Arabidopsis thaliana: one gene and its partners. The protein of the gene in region 2 interacts with the protein of the main gene of each other region in a biochemical or structural test. Each region holds a gene or a part of one and is shown on either strand. Other genes may lie near its edges.

What was found.
Region 1: the proteins of PIF4 (region 2) and DET1 form a complex in vitro, tested with the Arabidopsis thaliana proteins (one study listed by BioGRID).
Region 3: the proteins of PIF4 (region 2) and PHYA form a complex in vitro, tested with the Arabidopsis thaliana proteins (one study listed by BioGRID).

What each region holds. Positions count from the first base shown.
Region 1 is NC_003075.7:6,344,492-6,349,853, reverse strand, and holds DET1 (light-mediated development protein 1 / deetiolated1 (DET1)), read right to left. Parts: upstream 3,444-5,362; 5' UTR 3,312-3,443; coding exon 3,240-3,311; intron 3,159-3,239; coding exon 2,496-3,158; intron 2,422-2,495; coding exon 2,230-2,421; intron 1,932-2,229; coding exon 1,863-1,931; intron 1,768-1,862; coding exon 1,711-1,767; intron 1,605-1,710; coding exon 1,524-1,604; intron 1,442-1,523; coding exon 1,280-1,441; intron 1,208-1,279; coding exon 1,112-1,207; intron 1,040-1,111; coding exon 940-1,039; intron 848-939; coding exon 708-847; 3' UTR 540-707; downstream 1-539. Other genes in the region: AT4G10170 (SNARE-like superfamily protein), read right to left, coding at 4,503-5,267. UniProt on the Arabidopsis thaliana protein: Component of light signal transduction machinery. Involved in repression of photomorphogenesis in darkness by participating in the CDD complex, a complex probably required to regulate the activity of ubiquitin conjugating enzymes (E2s).
Region 2 is NC_003071.7:17,884,844-17,889,618, forward strand, and holds PIF4 (phytochrome interacting factor 4), read left to right. Parts: upstream 1-1,954; 5' UTR 1,955-2,033; coding exon 2,034-2,224; intron 2,225-2,314; coding exon 2,315-2,969; intron 2,970-3,061; coding exon 3,062-3,142; intron 3,143-3,270; coding exon 3,271-3,336; intron 3,337-3,416; coding exon 3,417-3,734; coding exon of another isoform or gene 3,735-3,764; exon of another isoform or gene 3,765-3,872; coding exon 3,873-3,980; 3' UTR 3,981-4,244; downstream 4,245-4,775. UniProt on the Arabidopsis thaliana protein: Transcription factor acting negatively in the phytochrome B signaling pathway. May regulate the expression of a subset of genes involved in cell expansion by binding to the G-box motif.
Region 3 is NC_003070.9:3,094,664-3,101,834, forward strand, and holds PHYA (phytochrome A), read right to left. Parts: upstream 5,168-7,171; 5' UTR 4,765-5,167; coding exon 4,760-4,764; intron 4,561-4,759; coding exon 2,495-4,560; intron 2,297-2,494; coding exon 1,480-2,296; intron 1,410-1,479; coding exon 1,119-1,409; intron 1,037-1,118; coding exon 835-1,036; 3' UTR 540-834; downstream 1-539. UniProt on the Arabidopsis thaliana protein: Regulatory photoreceptor which exists in two forms that are reversibly interconvertible by light: the Pr form that absorbs maximally in the red region of the spectrum and the Pfr form that absorbs maximally in the far-red region.

The DNA of each region.
Region 1 (5,362 bases), on a different chromosome or scaffold from region 2:
TCAAAATTTCTTTTTAGTTAGGAACCAATAACACCTCCTAGTTATTTCTTCCTTTTTAAGATTCAAACACTTTTTGCATGTATTATGTGTTTTGAGATACAGTAAAACCTCTATAAATTAATAAAGATGGAAGTATGATATTTTATTAATTATAGTGATTAATAATTTATCTATAATTAATATATTAATTTAAATTTAAATTATTAATTTATAGAGATATTTGTTTTAATTTTTCAAATTTTAGAAACTATGAGATGTTATAAATTTTATAGTAATATAATTGAAAATTTAATATTTAAAAAGCTCATTTGACAATAAATCACAAAAACTATAATTGAAAATGATGCATACTAAGAAATTAGAAACTTACAAAACATTATGGCTAATTTTTTTACAAAGTTATAAACGATTCTATAATTTGACAATTGAAAACCCCAACATAATTCAATCAGACTTAGAGACAAAACAATTGTTTGATAGAATAAAAGTTAGAGACAAACTCTAACAAGATTCAATACTTAAAAGACATTAAAACCATATTTTTATATAAAGCTTTCCAAAAGATTATTATATTATTATTTTATCGAAGTTTGTTAATTTTTACATCGGCCCAACTCGGAATTTATAGAGGTTTTACTGAACTTTTGTTACAAACAATAGATTACAACATGTAGGAAGACTACTAGACTGATAGAAACCAAAAAGAGTCATCGCCTAAAATGGATATTGACGACAGAAGGTGGCATGAAAAGTGTTTGTTGAATAGAGATGGCAAGTGGTAAATGAGGATGGAACAAGAATGAACATATCTTCTTGCTTCGACCATCTGCAGTTCCACACTCTGGTCCTGTTCACCATTAGACAATCCTAACGTTAAATCATGTTCCGTGCGGTTTGGGTTTTCGTCATCTTAATATCTAAACAACTAAAACAACCAACCTGGTTTTATCTTGAATTTCAGGGTTTGCGGTTGCCTTCGAGATATGAACTTGATTGGGTTGTCTGAGGATTGCCTATGCCTATCTGCTGCGGATATTAACTGTAACCATATCCGAAATTAACTTAACTCAATCCTGAAGTTGAAGAGAATAAGGGTTTATAGAATGGTTACCTTTTCATCGAACCGGAAGAGAGACTGGTCGAAATATGGGGAGGGACTTTGTGACTGACAACTGAAAGGCAAAGAGAGTAACATCTTCTTCACAAACTGTATAGAAAAATTGATTAGATTCAACTCTCTCATAAAAACCAACATATCGAAATACAGAGATGTACTTACCTGAGAAAAACTGTTTGATTTGTTCTTCGTGTATTTTAGTTGTTCAAGGGCATAGACGTTGTTAGAATGCGATGTTACAAAGTTCATGAACGGTGTACTACTTGATACTGTAAAGTGATCACTGAACTGCTCAAATAATTGGTAAAGATCTTCTGCTGAGTTCTGCATATAGTAATGTACTAAGTCAAGTTATAAGTAGATGCAAATTCCACAAAATAACTGGCCAAAATGACATCCATTTTACCTGATAGAATGCTACAATGTCAGTAGTCTCCATATTATACACCGCGAAGAAAGCTGGATGATGATCAGCACTTCTTGTTACCTGAGTAACCCATCAACAATCATAAGTCTAATCAATCAAATTGTAATTTCTGAAAATGACAGTATCAGTTCAATGTAACCATGAATTTGTATTATAGAGAGCTTACCCCACCGTCTACACTTCCAAATTTGATTAGCAGGTGTTGTCGATCCAAAAACTGAACCTGGACATCAAGAATACACAAAAGATTAGTTTTTTTCACCATCAAATCCAAACACTTGACACAGATTCCAAAAGCAGAAACACATAATTGATTACCTTCCATATAATCAAGTCGACATAATCCTGGAAATGGAAATAAAACTTCTTCTTAAGACTTTGAACTCTCTGTCAAATCAAATAGTGCCTTTCGATTAGTTCGTATCCAAGATGTAGTGTTTCAATACGACACACATTGCAAACTACAACGAAAGGTCGAAAATGCAAAGAGCATGTATATGATAAGCTGCATCAACTAAGAAGTCACTGTCAACTGCATCAATCCTAAACCTTAAACTTCTGTTATCCTACTCAACATCTAACAGAGGAAGCCAAGCAGTACACAAACATAACCCATTTAATGTACAAGATTGTGAAACTCAGAGCAATTTCATAAAGTGATAAGAGAAGTTGAAGAACAACGAACCATTACGTTATCTGATTCTTCATTCCAAATCTCCCTGAAGATAAAAGAAAGTAACCGTTGCTTAACACCACTAAGAAACGAATTCGAACCACTTGGCTGACTTAGACTATGACGCAACCCATTCTCTCCAGTATCATCTTCCTTACTCCCAGATAAACTCTGCTGTTTACTCTTATCTTGACTCATCATTGCCTAACAATCAAAAACCTCACAAAGCTCAAAACTTTATCTACTCCAGAGAAAGATACTGTAAAAACTTTGCTTACCTGAGAGCTAGAATTGAGGAAAAGCTCATCATCTTCACGACAAAAGTAACCAATAGCACGAGCATCAACAAGATGACCAGAATCTCTAATCTGAAGAAGATGAATCCTCTGATAACGCAACGACAAAATCGCTAAAAGATCATCATAAAGAAACACACCCATATTATGAGCCAGATTAACGAAATCATGAAGAAAAACCCTCTCATCAAGAACAACACCATCATCTAATCGAAGAAGTACGAAAGTAATCTTATCAATGGAAGGAACACCAGGAACAGCGTCATTAGAAGGAGATGATGAATCATGGATCTGAGCTGTTGAAGTAGCGAAAAGACCGAAACGACGAGTTTGGTGATAGAGGAAGAAGTCTTTGCAGATGAGTTCGTTAGAAGAAGCGAGATTGACTGAGTAGAGTTGAGTGAAAAAGCTGTCGAATTTCGAAGCACGGCGAGGTAGAGGAGGTAGGGTGGTTGTGGAATCATCGGTTGTGGAGTAAGTGAGCCAAGAAGGACGATAGACTATGAGTTCTTGATGGTTACGGCTGAAACTAATGAGGAAGAGTCCGTCTTCTGTGAATTTGCGGAAACAGTGATCGGGAGATTCGACATCGTAGAGTGTGTAGCTTGGGACTAGGTTTTCGTAGAAGTGTCTTGCACGATTTACCTATCATTGAAGGTAAAGAGATAAGCAAAAGAGAGATTGAGATTGAGAGATTGAGACAGAGAGAGAGATTTGGGGACTGACGGAAGCGCCGGGAGGAGGAGTTCGAATCTGACGTTCGAAGACCCGAGCGGTGACGTTACCGCTTGTGAACATTTGTTGGCCCAGAAGGGCACGAATAAAGGAAGGTTTTTGGTCTGGTTTTAGTGGTGAAAATGGAGGAGACGATGTGAGTGAGAGAGAGAGAGAGAGAGATACTGTGGCTTTGTTTTGGTTCTGTTGATTTTTCTCTTTTGGGAGGTTGGTTTCTCTCAATCTGTTAATGGGCCTGATATTGGTGTTTGAAAATGGCCCAATAGTTGCAAAATTGGGTCATTGGCACTTATCGGTACTACTTCCTCTTTGTACAATTTCTCTTGTTGTATTGCTTTGCTTAGTCGGAGCTTAAGTATGGACATTCACATTTTGGATCGGATTTTGGATCGGATTCGGTTCGGATTTTCGGATTCAGATGGGAAAGTTTATTATCCGGTCGGGTTTTATGACTATTCGGTTTGGTTTCGGTTCGGATAGTGTCGGATTCGGATCGGTTTTTGAGAAAAAAAAATATATATTGTTCCGTTTTAATAAAATTGGTTTAATTTTGCAAAAAAAATTGTATAATTGTAACAAATATAACTTAAAAATTCGGACGTATAAACCTGTAACTAATATTTTTGTTATTTAGAAATTTTTGGGTATAAACCTGTAACTAATATTTTTAGATAGATATAATTTTATTTCGGATTAGCGGATATTTATTCGGTTTTTGATTCGGAATCGGATTCGGCTGAAGTAATTTGGGTAGGTGAATTCATTATCCGTTCGGATTTTGTGACTGTTCAGTTCGGTTTCGGAACTTTTTTCGGATCGGTTCCTATCTACCTACCATTTTTTACTTCCCATTTTGTTGATCGGTAACAACAAGAACTGCAGTGGCAATACACTTGTTGGAACGAATCATACAATCAATACACTTGTTGGTAAAGCCTTATGCATCTCAAAGCCAGCTTCTTTGCTAGTGAGGGCCTTACTTAGGGAACTTGAAAGAGGATTGAGTTTGAAGTTGAAGCTCAAACAATTTAAATCATATAAAGATGGACGTTACTGTATCGTGAAGTCACAAAGAACACTGAACAGAATCTAGAATCCGACTGTACATATTTCAAAGCTGTGACTAAAGCAATACATAAGCCAAATTATAACTTAAGAATGCTTCACATTACAATCAACATATTTTTTGCCTATTGGAATGCACAAGGGAATGTAAAGAATCGACTCTGTTTATCCGATTTTCTGTCTGCACAATCACGAACGTGTACACTCGATACCCCGACATATAGCCAACCAAATACCAAACAGTGTCAAGCAAATAGCTGCATCAATAGCAAGAACAATCTGAACTAACCGCCGCCATTTCCATTCAAAGCTTTGAGTAACAGAACGTCCACTACTCGACACACACTCCTTCTCCAACGACGTTCCAGCTCCCGCTGAATCATCGGTTATGTTCCCTCTATCATTAGACTTCCTGTGTTCCTCAAGCTCAATCACATGATCTTTCCCTTTCTTCTTCTCTTGCTTACTTAACCTCCCCAACAACGGAGCTTTAGTAGAATTCGAACCTTCGCTTTGTTCACCAAGATTACTACTCTTCAATTCATTGTTACTACTACTCTCAGCAACACGTTCAAGAGAAGCTATAAGTCTAGTAACAACAGGAACAAGCTGATCTTCAACATTAATAGAACCAATCATAGCAGTAAAACTTCCTCTAGAATTCTCCCTAGCAGCTTTCTTAAATTCATCTCTCAAATGTTCAAGAAACTTAAGAACACTAGATCTCTTCAAAACCTCATCAACAATGGCGAAATAAACAAACCCATCTCCAATTAAAAACCCAAATCTTCTTTTACCAATAGTTTCAAAGTACCAAGTATGAAAAGGAGGAGACTTTTCTAAACACAGAGCAGCAAGACTCTCGTTGGTTTGGTCTCCACCGTTGTAAGAGTAAAGAATCTGATTGTCTCTTGAGACACAACAGTAATGAACTGTGTTCTTGATTAAACCCATCTTTTTTTTTGTTTTTTTAAGAAATCAAATTGAGACAGAAGAGGAAAGAAGAGAAGTCTGTGATTAGAGCAAAGAAGAAGAGAGAAATTGAGATG
Region 2 (4,775 bases):
AGCGGCGGAGCAACAGTTATTTTAACCGCCGCAACAAGTCTTCAATTCTCCTTCCTCTCCGCCGCCAATCTGCCGACAAGTTTCTTTTCGTCTTAAGAAAATATATTGGGTCTCGTTTCGTACAACAAAGTGTAGTGTTTGGGCTTTACTCAGAAGCCCATAAGTATTTTATTATTATTTTTAGACAGTAAGGCCCAATAGTATTTTATTGTTACTGTCTGCGCTGAAACAATTTATGTTTTTCAGCAAAGTAATATCTTACTAATCAGTAATTACATACACCGTAACACCATCACGAATTTTCAGTACACGACAGAGTATAGGTATGATTGACTGACAACAATATAAAAAGGCTAAATTAGTTAGACTGTCTTATTAATTAAAAAGTAATATTGTACTATTACTATACTACTTCACTTAAATATTTATTCGACACACAAAAATAAACCATTCGTGTGAATGTTTCCCAAACACATTTGGGGCCGAAGCATTCGAGCGGGCGTACCACTCCAATTACCTGGTACACATAATTGAAGACTATAGTATGAAAATTAATGTTTTATGTTTTTGTCACCTAAATTTTTAATAAAATGCAGTTGCAGTTTGGTTGTCATTGTTCTGTTGATCCGTTCATTCCGCGTCCTGTATTTGGCTATCACAATTTCAATCTATGAAAATTTGAAATCCGTATGGTCAAAATTATATTTTAAAACCACATTGCTAGAGAATAATTAAAAAAATAATAATCTTCATGTGGAATTTATAGAAATTAATGATATACATTTCAGGAAAACTTAGCATGAAGTATATTATTTTAATGTGATGATTTTAGAAATACAAACCGAGACGCGGTATGGGATATGGTCCATTACAAGTAGGCACAATGGTCCACTAATAATTGTTATTACGACAACAGAATTAATTGCCTATTTAAAACGAAATGAATCATCGAAGAACATACTAGATCTTTTTCCAATTTACAACCAAAAAAAACATTATTAGGTGAGTAGTAAAAAGATTAAGGTTATCAGAAACTAACTGTAGTAGTATGTTGTGTGAAATTCTTTTGTATTTCTTATTAAGCCAAGGGTGCCCTTTCAATGCAACGTGATAAACGCCAAAAACGATGATATGAACAATTATAAACTCGTTGAGAGCATTGAACTCGGATAATAAATCATCTTTTATATACATCGTAGATAACAAACAAACACGTAATTAAATTTGACGTATAGCAAAAGACTTGAAGAATAAAACGTCAAGTTAAAGATAATTTTGGTATATATGAGAAAGGTATCGACAAAAACCATAACGCTATAGATGATTGTGATTTGACAAAAACACCCTCAAATCATTGTTTTCAGAGTTTTTTTAGATAAGGTACAGATAAGAAACCACCTCTAAAAATCAAGCAATAGATCTCATCGCTTAAAAGAAGAGAGAGATCTTCACTTGTATGTGTCCCACTGATTCCAACACAATGTCCCAGAACTTGCCACGTGTCGTTCATTTCAAAAGATTGCAGTACTGTTGTCCCTAGAGAATCATTATCTCCCTCGCTGTAATATCTTTATGCTCCTGTCACTTTCTGTCTGTACCCAAAAGAAGTAATGAACCTCTCTCATCTTCTTCTTCTCTGTTTCTTTCATGTTTTGTGAGTTGTTTCTCAACAATTTTCTGGTCTCTTAGAGTGAGAGGAGAGAGATAGAGAGTTGTGTTGGGCGTGGAACTTGGACTAGTTCCACATATCAGGTTATATAGATCTTCTCTTTCAACTTCTGATTCGTCCAGAAGCTTTCCTAATCTGGTCAGTAGTACTCTTTTTATACGGGTTTTTGGTTTTATAAGATGTGGCTATATTTGGAAATAACTATTTTGCAAGCTTTCCTAGATTGCCAGAATATAAAAAAAGATGTTTAACAAGAGAACGGACTCATGGACTTGCTTTAAATTTTAATTATTTTAAAATCATTCTATAATGATTAGAGTAAATAAACTATTAGGACTCTGAATTATAAAATTCGATTTTATATATGCTCCTCCTTGTATCTCTTAATCATAAGTTATCATTAGCTCTGTTCACTAGTGCTATAAAATATATTCTGAGGTTAATAAAACTTTTTTTTCTTTTTATTTTGAAATGTCTCCAGAGATCTGACATGGAACACCAAGGTTGGAGTTTTGAGGAGAATTATAGTTTGTCCACTAATAGAAGATCTATCAGGTATTATTTAATAATCTTTGATCTAATGTTTTCATTCATTAAAAAAAAAACTTTATAATATAGTCTGTGTGTGTGTGTATTGATGTCTAGGCCACAAGATGAACTAGTGGAGTTATTATGGCGAGATGGACAAGTGGTTCTGCAGAGCCAAACTCATAGAGAACAAACCCAAACCCAGAAACAAGATCATCATGAAGAAGCCCTAAGATCCAGCACCTTTCTTGAAGATCAAGAAACTGTCTCTTGGATCCAATACCCTCCAGATGAAGACCCATTCGAACCCGACGACTTCTCCTCCCACTTCTTCTCAACCATGGATCCCCTCCAGAGACCAACCTCAGAGACGGTTAAGCCTAAGTCCAGTCCTGAACCTCCTCAAGTCATGGTTAAGCCTAAGGCCTGTCCTGACCCTCCTCCTCAAGTCATGCCTCCTCCAAAATTTAGGTTAACAAATTCATCATCGGGGATTAGGGAAACAGAAATGGAACAGTACTCGGTAACGACCGTTGGACCTAGCCATTGCGGAAGCAACCCATCACAGAACGATCTCGATGTCTCAATGAGTCATGATCGAAGCAAAAACATAGAAGAAAAGCTTAATCCGAACGCAAGTTCCTCATCAGGTGGCTCCTCTGGTTGCAGCTTTGGCAAAGATATCAAAGAAATGGCTAGTGGAAGATGCATCACAACCGACCGTAAGAGAAAACGTATAAATCACACTGACGAATCTGTATCTCTATCAGATGTATGCTTCCTTTAATTCTAACTCATGATAATTACTTCTTGAAAACGTAATCTTGGTCTATCTCAGAGAGTAATACATAATACATTTTGCAGGCAATCGGTAACAAGTCGAACCAACGATCAGGATCAAACCGAAGGAGTCGAGCAGCTGAAGTTCATAATCTCTCCGAAAGGGTACTTCATCGGTTCGTCTATATAATATATAATATATAGTTTAATGTTAGAGAATCGTATAACATTTATACAAAGAAAACAGATACAAAACTCTGTTTTTTATTTTCTTCTTTTCATAACTTAAATAGAGGAGGAGAGATAGGATCAATGAGAGAATGAAGGCTTTGCAAGAACTAATACCTCACTGCAGTAAAGTGAGTTGATACAAATCAAATCTAAAAGTGAATCAGATTAAGAAATGAAGATTGATTCATTCATTGGTGTGTTTTTGCAGACTGATAAAGCTTCGATTTTAGACGAAGCCATAGATTATTTGAAATCACTTCAGTTACAGCTTCAAGTGATGTGGATGGGGAGTGGAATGGCGGCGGCGGCGGCTTCGGCTCCGATGATGTTCCCCGGAGTTCAACCTCAGCAGTTCATACGTCAGATACAGAGCCCGGTACAGTTACCTCGATTTCCGGTTATGGATCAGTCTGCAATTCAGAACAATCCCGGTTTAGTTTGCCAAAACCCGGTACAAAACCAGATCATCTCCGACCGGTTTGCTAGATACATCGGTGGGTTCCCACACATGCAGGCCGCGACTCAGGTAAGGCCAATACGAAGCCGTGTTTATTAAACGACGATTTTGGTAAAATGTTTTTTGGGTTTACTACATTAATACGAGATAAGAAAAAATGTTAAACCGACGTAGTTTTAGTTGACACGTTGTGTGGTTTTTTATTAGATGCAGCCGATGGAGATGTTGAGATTTAGTTCACCGGCGGGACAGCAAAGTCAACAACCGTCGTCTGTGCCGACGAAGACCACCGACGGTTCTCGTTTGGACCACTAGGTTGGTGAGCCACTTTTTTACTTCCTTATTTTTGGTATGTTTCTTTTTTATATCTATCTTTCTGAACATACTTAAAACGTTCAAGGATGTATTATTATAGAGTAAACGTGCAACTTCATTACGTTATTTTCTGTATATGTGAGTTTATGTATGTCAAAATGACATGATGAGATTTTTTGTAAACAACATCTTAAAAACAGGACATGTGATTTTTGTAATCGTAAAAACTTTGGGATGCAGTTTATTTTCTAATCAAAACAAGGATATATCTAAGTAATCGAAATTTTTTTCGAAAATAGAACTAGATGACACTTATAGATTATAGATCACACCTAATTTTGAAGATGTATCTAAAAGTCCATTCAATTTTTCTCTGTTCCCCTAATAAGAAATCATATGTTCATATTCAAAAAATAAGAAACACAAAAAAAAACTTTAAGAAAAACACAGATGATCAACCGTCTGGCTAGAGTTTGGTAAAATATTAATATCTTATGATTTCATATTGTTCCATAAATAAATAAAAAATCATAACATAAGCTTTTCTTGCTGATTGTCTAAAATTATGTATAGATGGAAAAAGCCAAATCACATGTGATGGAGCCAGATTTGAGTGAGAGTCATGTGTCAATTGTCAAAAACATCGACATTATAAGTCTTTAAGCCATGTGCATACTGGTCAGAATCTATTTAGCAATAATTGAGTTAAATATCTTAGATATTTTTGCATACTGTTTTCATATATAAATTTATTCCAAAGTTTGAAATAGTCGATCGAAAACACTTAACAATAGT
Region 3 (7,171 bases), on a different chromosome or scaffold from region 2:
TACTACAGTTCTGTTTTTTTCTAAAGGGAAGATCTTTTTATCTTCTTTGATTTGTCTTCTGTAATAAAAAAGGAACAATAACTGATGATCTTCAGTGTGCATTTGAGCTCCATAGTCTCATGTATTCGTCTTCTTGTATAATCCATATTATTTTTTGTTCAAAGTTGACTAAAGACAGGTAAGAAGTCGAGGTTGATCTAATCTAAAAGCTTTCAAAACAGGTAAGCTAATTTATCTGACTTTTCAGATAAAATAATCAACTTGAGAGACTCTTAACGTATGGGTCTAATAAAACTGATTACTTAATTAACATGATAACTTATTTTTTACTTCACACACCATGTGCTTCTTCTAACAGAAAACTAAGTGTACTTCATATGGCCAGCTAATAGATCTCTGTTAAGTTCGAAGAACTATGTTTGCTTCTTCATGGAGTTGAGCCAAAGCTAATTGTTTGAAACCAAGACTTCTTGCAACATAGTCACGAATCATGCATTACCTCTAATACCTTAAAAGAAGGAGATTATATGAAACTAGATAGAATATTTGTTTGAGTTTCTGCCATTATGATAAACCATGGACCGTAAACATTAGCTCATTTCTCCTATATTACTTATTTTGAATGATACATCATGAAACCAAAACACTCAGGAGGAGATTAGATATGCATCCATATTTACAGCTTCAGAAAAGAGTTCAACAGAAGATGTAAATGGATGGATATTTCATCGTTACTGAAATTTGAAAACGAAAACAAAAGCGATAAGGAAAGTTACAAGCAAAGAACAACCAGTGACTATTTTATATCAAGCCAGACCCCTTTTCTTTTGGGGACTACTTGTTTGCTGCAGCGAGTTCCGCAGTGATAATGAAACTTGATTTCCCAGCTTGTCTCAAGTACTGAACATCTCCATTCATCAGCTTCACCAGTTTCCGGCTAACCATTAAGCTCAATCCTTCTTCTGACACATCTTCCTCAGTCCCAAACATTTGGTTTAGTAAAAACTCAGGTATCCCAGCTCCGGTATGCGTTAACCTGTTTTCATAATCCCAATATCCTCAATGCACTGTTTTTAACATCATATTATGCATTCTGATTATGAATATATCTATTTTACCTGATCTCTAGATTAGCAAGATGCACAGAACGCCCGAGCTGATCCTTCCTCAGGGAAGCTGAAACAGTTAGCTGACCTCCGGATGGTGTAAAGTTTACAGCCATCAGCATGAAATCTGCCAAGACTTGTTGAAGCCTAATACTGTCTCCATACAAAGTGTCAGACATTACTTCTTCTCCGGTCTCATTTGTTATCCGAACACTCTTTCCGTTACTCTTCATCATTACTTGACTTGTGGAAGCAGTCAACACTTCATTTAAGGTGAATTCTTTCATTTCCAAATCCAAGCATCTGCACAGTCAAATTCCAACATAAGAACACAGATAAACCATATTTTAAATGGACTTTCATTCTAGCATACCCTTCAATGATGCTTTCAAGATCCGAATCATCGAGGATCTTGCTTAGTTGCTTCTGACATAACGCGCTAGTTTGCAAAATCCGTCTTTGCTCTGGTCCTAATTCAGTACCCTCTATCATTTTCCTTGTAAACATGATCCCAGATAGCGGATTCCTGATCTGTCTTTTTATGTATGCTAGAGCCTTTAGTCTCTTCACTGCGGTTCGCTCAGCTAAACGTTGAACATGGAGCGCTTGCTGCAGCTCATGGCTGGCAAGTTGCAGGAAACAGAAGACACCTGTCACTACACCTTCCCTGTCCAGTTTCTTACTCACACACAACAGACACTCCACATACTTGCCACCTCTTGTAAAGAAAGCAAACGATACTTTCTCTGGATCTTGACTGGTCACAGCATTGTTCAGCACAATCCCAAGGTTTACAAAGGCTTCTTGATTCTTTAGACGACAACATGACTTCTGCGTCCCAAATACTTCTCCTAAGAGCATTTTGTCAATCACTTCCTCTCGCTTCAAACCGGTTAACTTTGACATTGCTGGATTCCACTCTGTGCACCATCCAAACTCATCGGTACCAAATATTGGCGGGATCAGCGGGTTTGGATTTTGGATGATTGCCTTGTAATCACCTTCAATCCGCGTAAACTTGTCCATCACAGTCTTCTGGCCAGTAAGATCATGGGCTACAAAACACACCCCAACCACGTTTTCATGGAGATCTCTACTTGCGCATGCATTTACAACTAAACTTATTGGCCCAGCATCAGCCCTGGACAGATGTGTCTTGATCTCAAACTGGACATTCTGCTCCTCAGTTCCTGCATAGATAAGCAAGTGAAGTTATAGACTCGGCTTCAGTGTTTGATAAAATTGGAAAACAAAATTCCATCATTAAGAACCAAAAACAACACATTGCATCAAGTTTCTTCGACCACGATACTCAATTGGAACTTGAATAGTGAAATCTAGTTGGAAGATTCTTAGCAAACTCAGCATAACTTAGGAAGAGAGTTTACCTTCTAATGCGTTCTCTAGCATCCTTTTAACGATTTCCACTGAAGAATCTTCAACAAGTGTGAGGAAATGCTTCCCGATTGCTTCATCAACCGAAAGACCAGTCAGCTCAGCAATTTTCGTGTTCCAACCATTAACCAGTCCATCAGAATCAACCGCCAATATTGGCACCGTAGCAGTCTCAATTAAACGAACCATCTCACTGGTCACAGCTTCTAGTTCTTGTATACCATCAATTTTGAGATCATTTAGCTTCGAGTAAATGACCTTTGTATTCACATCAGTAGTTTCACTATCCTTGAAAGCATTCCTCAAAATAAGTTGCAAGGAGTGTATGGCATCCATCTCATAGTCCTTCCAAGGTAAACTCCTTGTCTTGACCACTTCAAGGAAAGCCTTGAACGATGACCTTGGGTGCATTCTCCTTGCATCATCCCTATCATCTGGATCATGCTTCGCACCTCCCCATCTCACTTCACCAGCGGTATGAGAACGGAACCAGAAAATCATGTCTTTCGATGATATCCTCACAGCTGCCATCCCACATACCGAATCCCCGAGAGATAGAGCCCTAGGAAACCCGGCGTCATGCAAACTATCAGTGCTCAAACCCGTTGAATCCATGTGGTATTCACACAACCATGAAGCTATCTCCTGCAGGTGGAACTCACTTGGAGTTGTTCCCAGTTTCCATATCTTGTCTTTATACAAGAGAGCTGCTCCATCACATTTCACAAGGTCCATTATGTTGGGGCTTTGCGACACAATACCCAGTGGAGCATCACGCATCAGCATATCGCACAAGAGTGTCTGCGTGCGCAAAATGTTCTTCTCCACCATCTGGTTATCGAGTTCCACCTCCTTATTGACGTGTATGGCAAACACTTGAGCTAGAAACTCACAGGCATACCTGAGAGGAAATGGAACAAACCTCGGAGTCGTATTGTGACAAACCACTAAACCCCATAGTCTCTTTCTCTTTTGAGGCTGTGTAGTAGCATCAGGAGCATCCCCTTCTCCATCTTCCTCGTTAACTACAACCGCCATAACCAGAGATGCAATTGAATCCATGTTGGCCATGTACTGCAAATGGCAGCTGTGCGGTGCTCTAAGGGTGGAGCCACACAAGGTAAGGTCAAAGGAAAGCTTTTCATCTTGAAGCACCCTAGCATGTTTTGCATTGCAATCAACTATCATCCGGACCTTGTTCTTCATAAACAGAAAACGGGCTGCTTGAGGGATGTCGGTGGCAGGATAATGCAGCCCAAGATAAGGCTCCAGCCCAGGTTTTGTAACCTCGGAGACAACCTCACCGTGATCATCTTCATGAAACTTATAAGCCATCACCCTGTCATACCCCGTGAGTTCAAAAACCTCTTGAACCATTGTATCACAAAGCCTTTCCATACTCCCGCTGGGTAAAGATTGCAGCCTAGTGATTGCTTTGGCAGCGAGCTTGTATGATTGTAAGGCACCAGCAGCTGTCATGGGGACTTCATAAGGCTTCACGGGTTCAAAGTCGATGATGATGCTCCCTGTAACCCTGTGGATAATCGCATAAAAGGGCTTTGCAGAAGTCCTGCAGTGCACAAGAATGGGATTCAAAAGAGAGACATCTCCAAATCCAAGGGCTTTCTGCAATGCAGACGCACTAGGAGCAGTGAAAAGACTCCTTATATCTGTCCCAATGCCTAGAACAGGGTGTTCGCCAACACTAGGAACTGCATGACTGGCCATTGTCAACAGCTCAGATGCATTCTCGCTGTATGCAATAACTTTGAAGGTCTTCTCATCCAAGGCAAGTAAACAACCGAAGGGCTGAATCAGCTTTCCCTTCTGTATATGATGAAGATAAGTCGTGGTAACTTTGTCAGACCTTGGTGGCTGATTCTCCACAACCGGGCCAGTGACACGCACTGAGGTTGAGTAATCAAAGGAGCTGCCTGACTCCTCAAAATCAGCATGGAGTTTCGCATCTACAGTGGTCTGCGCAATGATCCTAGCGCTGTGCCTTGATCGCCTTGAGCCCTCAGAGGACTGAGTCGGCCTAGAGCCTGACATTTTTTTCCTGACACAGAGACAAGACAACAAAAAATAAGTGCAAAACTCTGATAAAAGAGGGAATAAAACATTCATGCCATAATCATATGAACACAAAAACATTCATCACCAGTCATACAAGCGAATGCATAAGCATAAACTTGAAACACTAAGAACCAATTCAGAATTTCAAACACACAGTAAAAAGAGTTATGAACTTGACTAACTCCATCGAGAATACATAGCTAAACCCAGAAACAGGACGCAACAGATGCAGGAATCATCGTGTCATATTCCAAGGTTCAATGATTTATCATTTTCAAAGTAACTGAACCAGTCAGATTCCATGAACACTTCCTTTCTAAGTCATCCTACAATCCAAAATCAACAACATCTTGACTATGAACAAGTCGCACAAATAATAGTTGATAGTTAACAGGGTAAATCCACTACACAAATACTAACAAAACGAGGATCTGAGCTAATATCAGCCTCTCAAGATTCAAACACAGCTACATACATAAAGTAGACTCAATAATAAACTCTTAAGAGTCTTTATAGCTAGCTATACCTTTCAAAAGGAACAATAAAGTCCCCACAGGGAAAGCAATCGTAGGAGTTAAAAGCGATAAAAGGATGAGATTAATTAATTGGATGCTTCTTCTCATAAATGATCACACACTATAAAAAGTTGAGTAAAACAAACACACATCAAGCCAGATCGAAAGAGACCTACAAAACCTTTATATCGCAGAAAACAAGAGGGTATTGATGACAACAGAGGATAGCTTTAAGAAATTAACTTCAAAGTTAGAATCAATTTCAGTAAGAAGAGTGAGACCAGTAGCTAGCTGGTAAGCTCCCAGCAGAAATCAATCGAAGCAAGCTTCAATATATATAGTTAAAAAAAGAAAAAAAAGGAGGAAACTTTGGGAAAAGGAAAGTAGGTACCTTTAAAGAGAAGAAAGAAGAAGAAGAAGTTTCAAGAAGCCATGATCAGATCTTGTGACTAGTCACACTCGTCAGAGGCTTTTTGTTATAGTTAAATTCTAAATCTTGGCCTCGATCACCACCTTCTCTCTTGTGCTACGCCTCTCTATTATTTGTGCTCCCTAACACAGACGACGACGATGAATGGGACCACCCCGAATACGTATGCCCATGTCTCGGAGTATGGGCGATTTGTATATTTTATAATGGAATAAAATAAAAGAAGAAAAAAGCTTAATTTGGATAAAAGACAAACTTCACACACATATCAAGAACAGGGTCGGCTTCGCCGGTAACATTTTCCTCGCTAAAACAGAACAGTGGGCTTAAGATATATCAAGTACTACTACTTGTAAATCTTGGCAACTTTCTGGGGAATATTAATTGATATTTTCACCGATGTGACTAAGACTGTGTAATGAGGAAAAAAGAAGTAAAGTGGAAGAAGAACAAAATGGGGTTGATTCTTATAAATCCGATTGAAGAGAATCGTCCAAAGGATAAGAGATCAAAAGTAAAAAAAAAAAAAAAGATTATTAATAAAATAAAAAAACGAGAAAGAGAGAGAGAAAGAAAGATGGTGGTAGTTGTTTAATGAAGGCAGTAACCAGAAGTAGAAAGTTGGGTTTTGAGGAAGACGACAACGATAGTCTTATGGGCTTCACGTTTTCTCGGCTTTTTGCGTTTTGTAATCTGTTTCTGGGATTTACTTCAAAGTTGGGACTTTCCTTTTTTGTATTTTTTTTTATCGTTGAAAGAAAGTAATAAAATTTGTAAAACTAATTTAAGTTTATTCGAAGAATTTAAATTTGTTTTATTTTTTATATAAAAAGGGTAAAAAAATCGTTATTAAGGTTTTATTTTTTTTTCGTCAAACAAAATCCATATCGTTTTAACATCATTGTCAAACTTCGATTCGTTCTTATCGCAAATCCACGTTACCATGTTTTCTTAGGTATTTTGCTTCTATCCTCTTAAAGTTAAATCTCCCCCTAAGTTTTTTGCAGTAAATCTCCGGAGAAGATCGAATCGACAACGTCTTATCTAGACAGCGCAATTCAGCATAGATATTGTGGCACAGCTATGTTGGACCAAAAATGTGCCTCCATAATGCAAATGTTGTCCTAGCAACACAGTATCATCCATTAGACATAGTCATGGCCCATGTTGCACATATCTGAATTGGCAAAAGGTACTAATCCCATTTCAGGAATAACACTTTGAAGAACAAAACAAATATGAGCTTAGGAGACTTCTTAATGGCCGGCCAAGAACGCTTCAATCACTAGGGATGTGATGGTTTGGAACTTTAAGGCGCCCTTTGAGAGCTATTTCATTTTCACTCTTTTGATATTGAACTCTCAAAACAACTGTTCATTACCATGTGTTTTCTCGGTTTTTAATGTGTGTATTTGTGTGAAACAAGGCCAATAATCTATATACGAAAATAAAGAAAATGGTTCTTTACACCAAAACTTCCGTATTAAAAAGAACATTTAAAATCTGTTATCGTCACTGTAATAAACAATGTCAATGGTTACTTATGTATAAGAAGTAGAAGAAGATGACGGAAAACAATCTTTGTCACTCTTTTGCAAGGACTGATCATCTTCTTCTTCAGTTTGATGAACCACCGGAGGACATGAAGA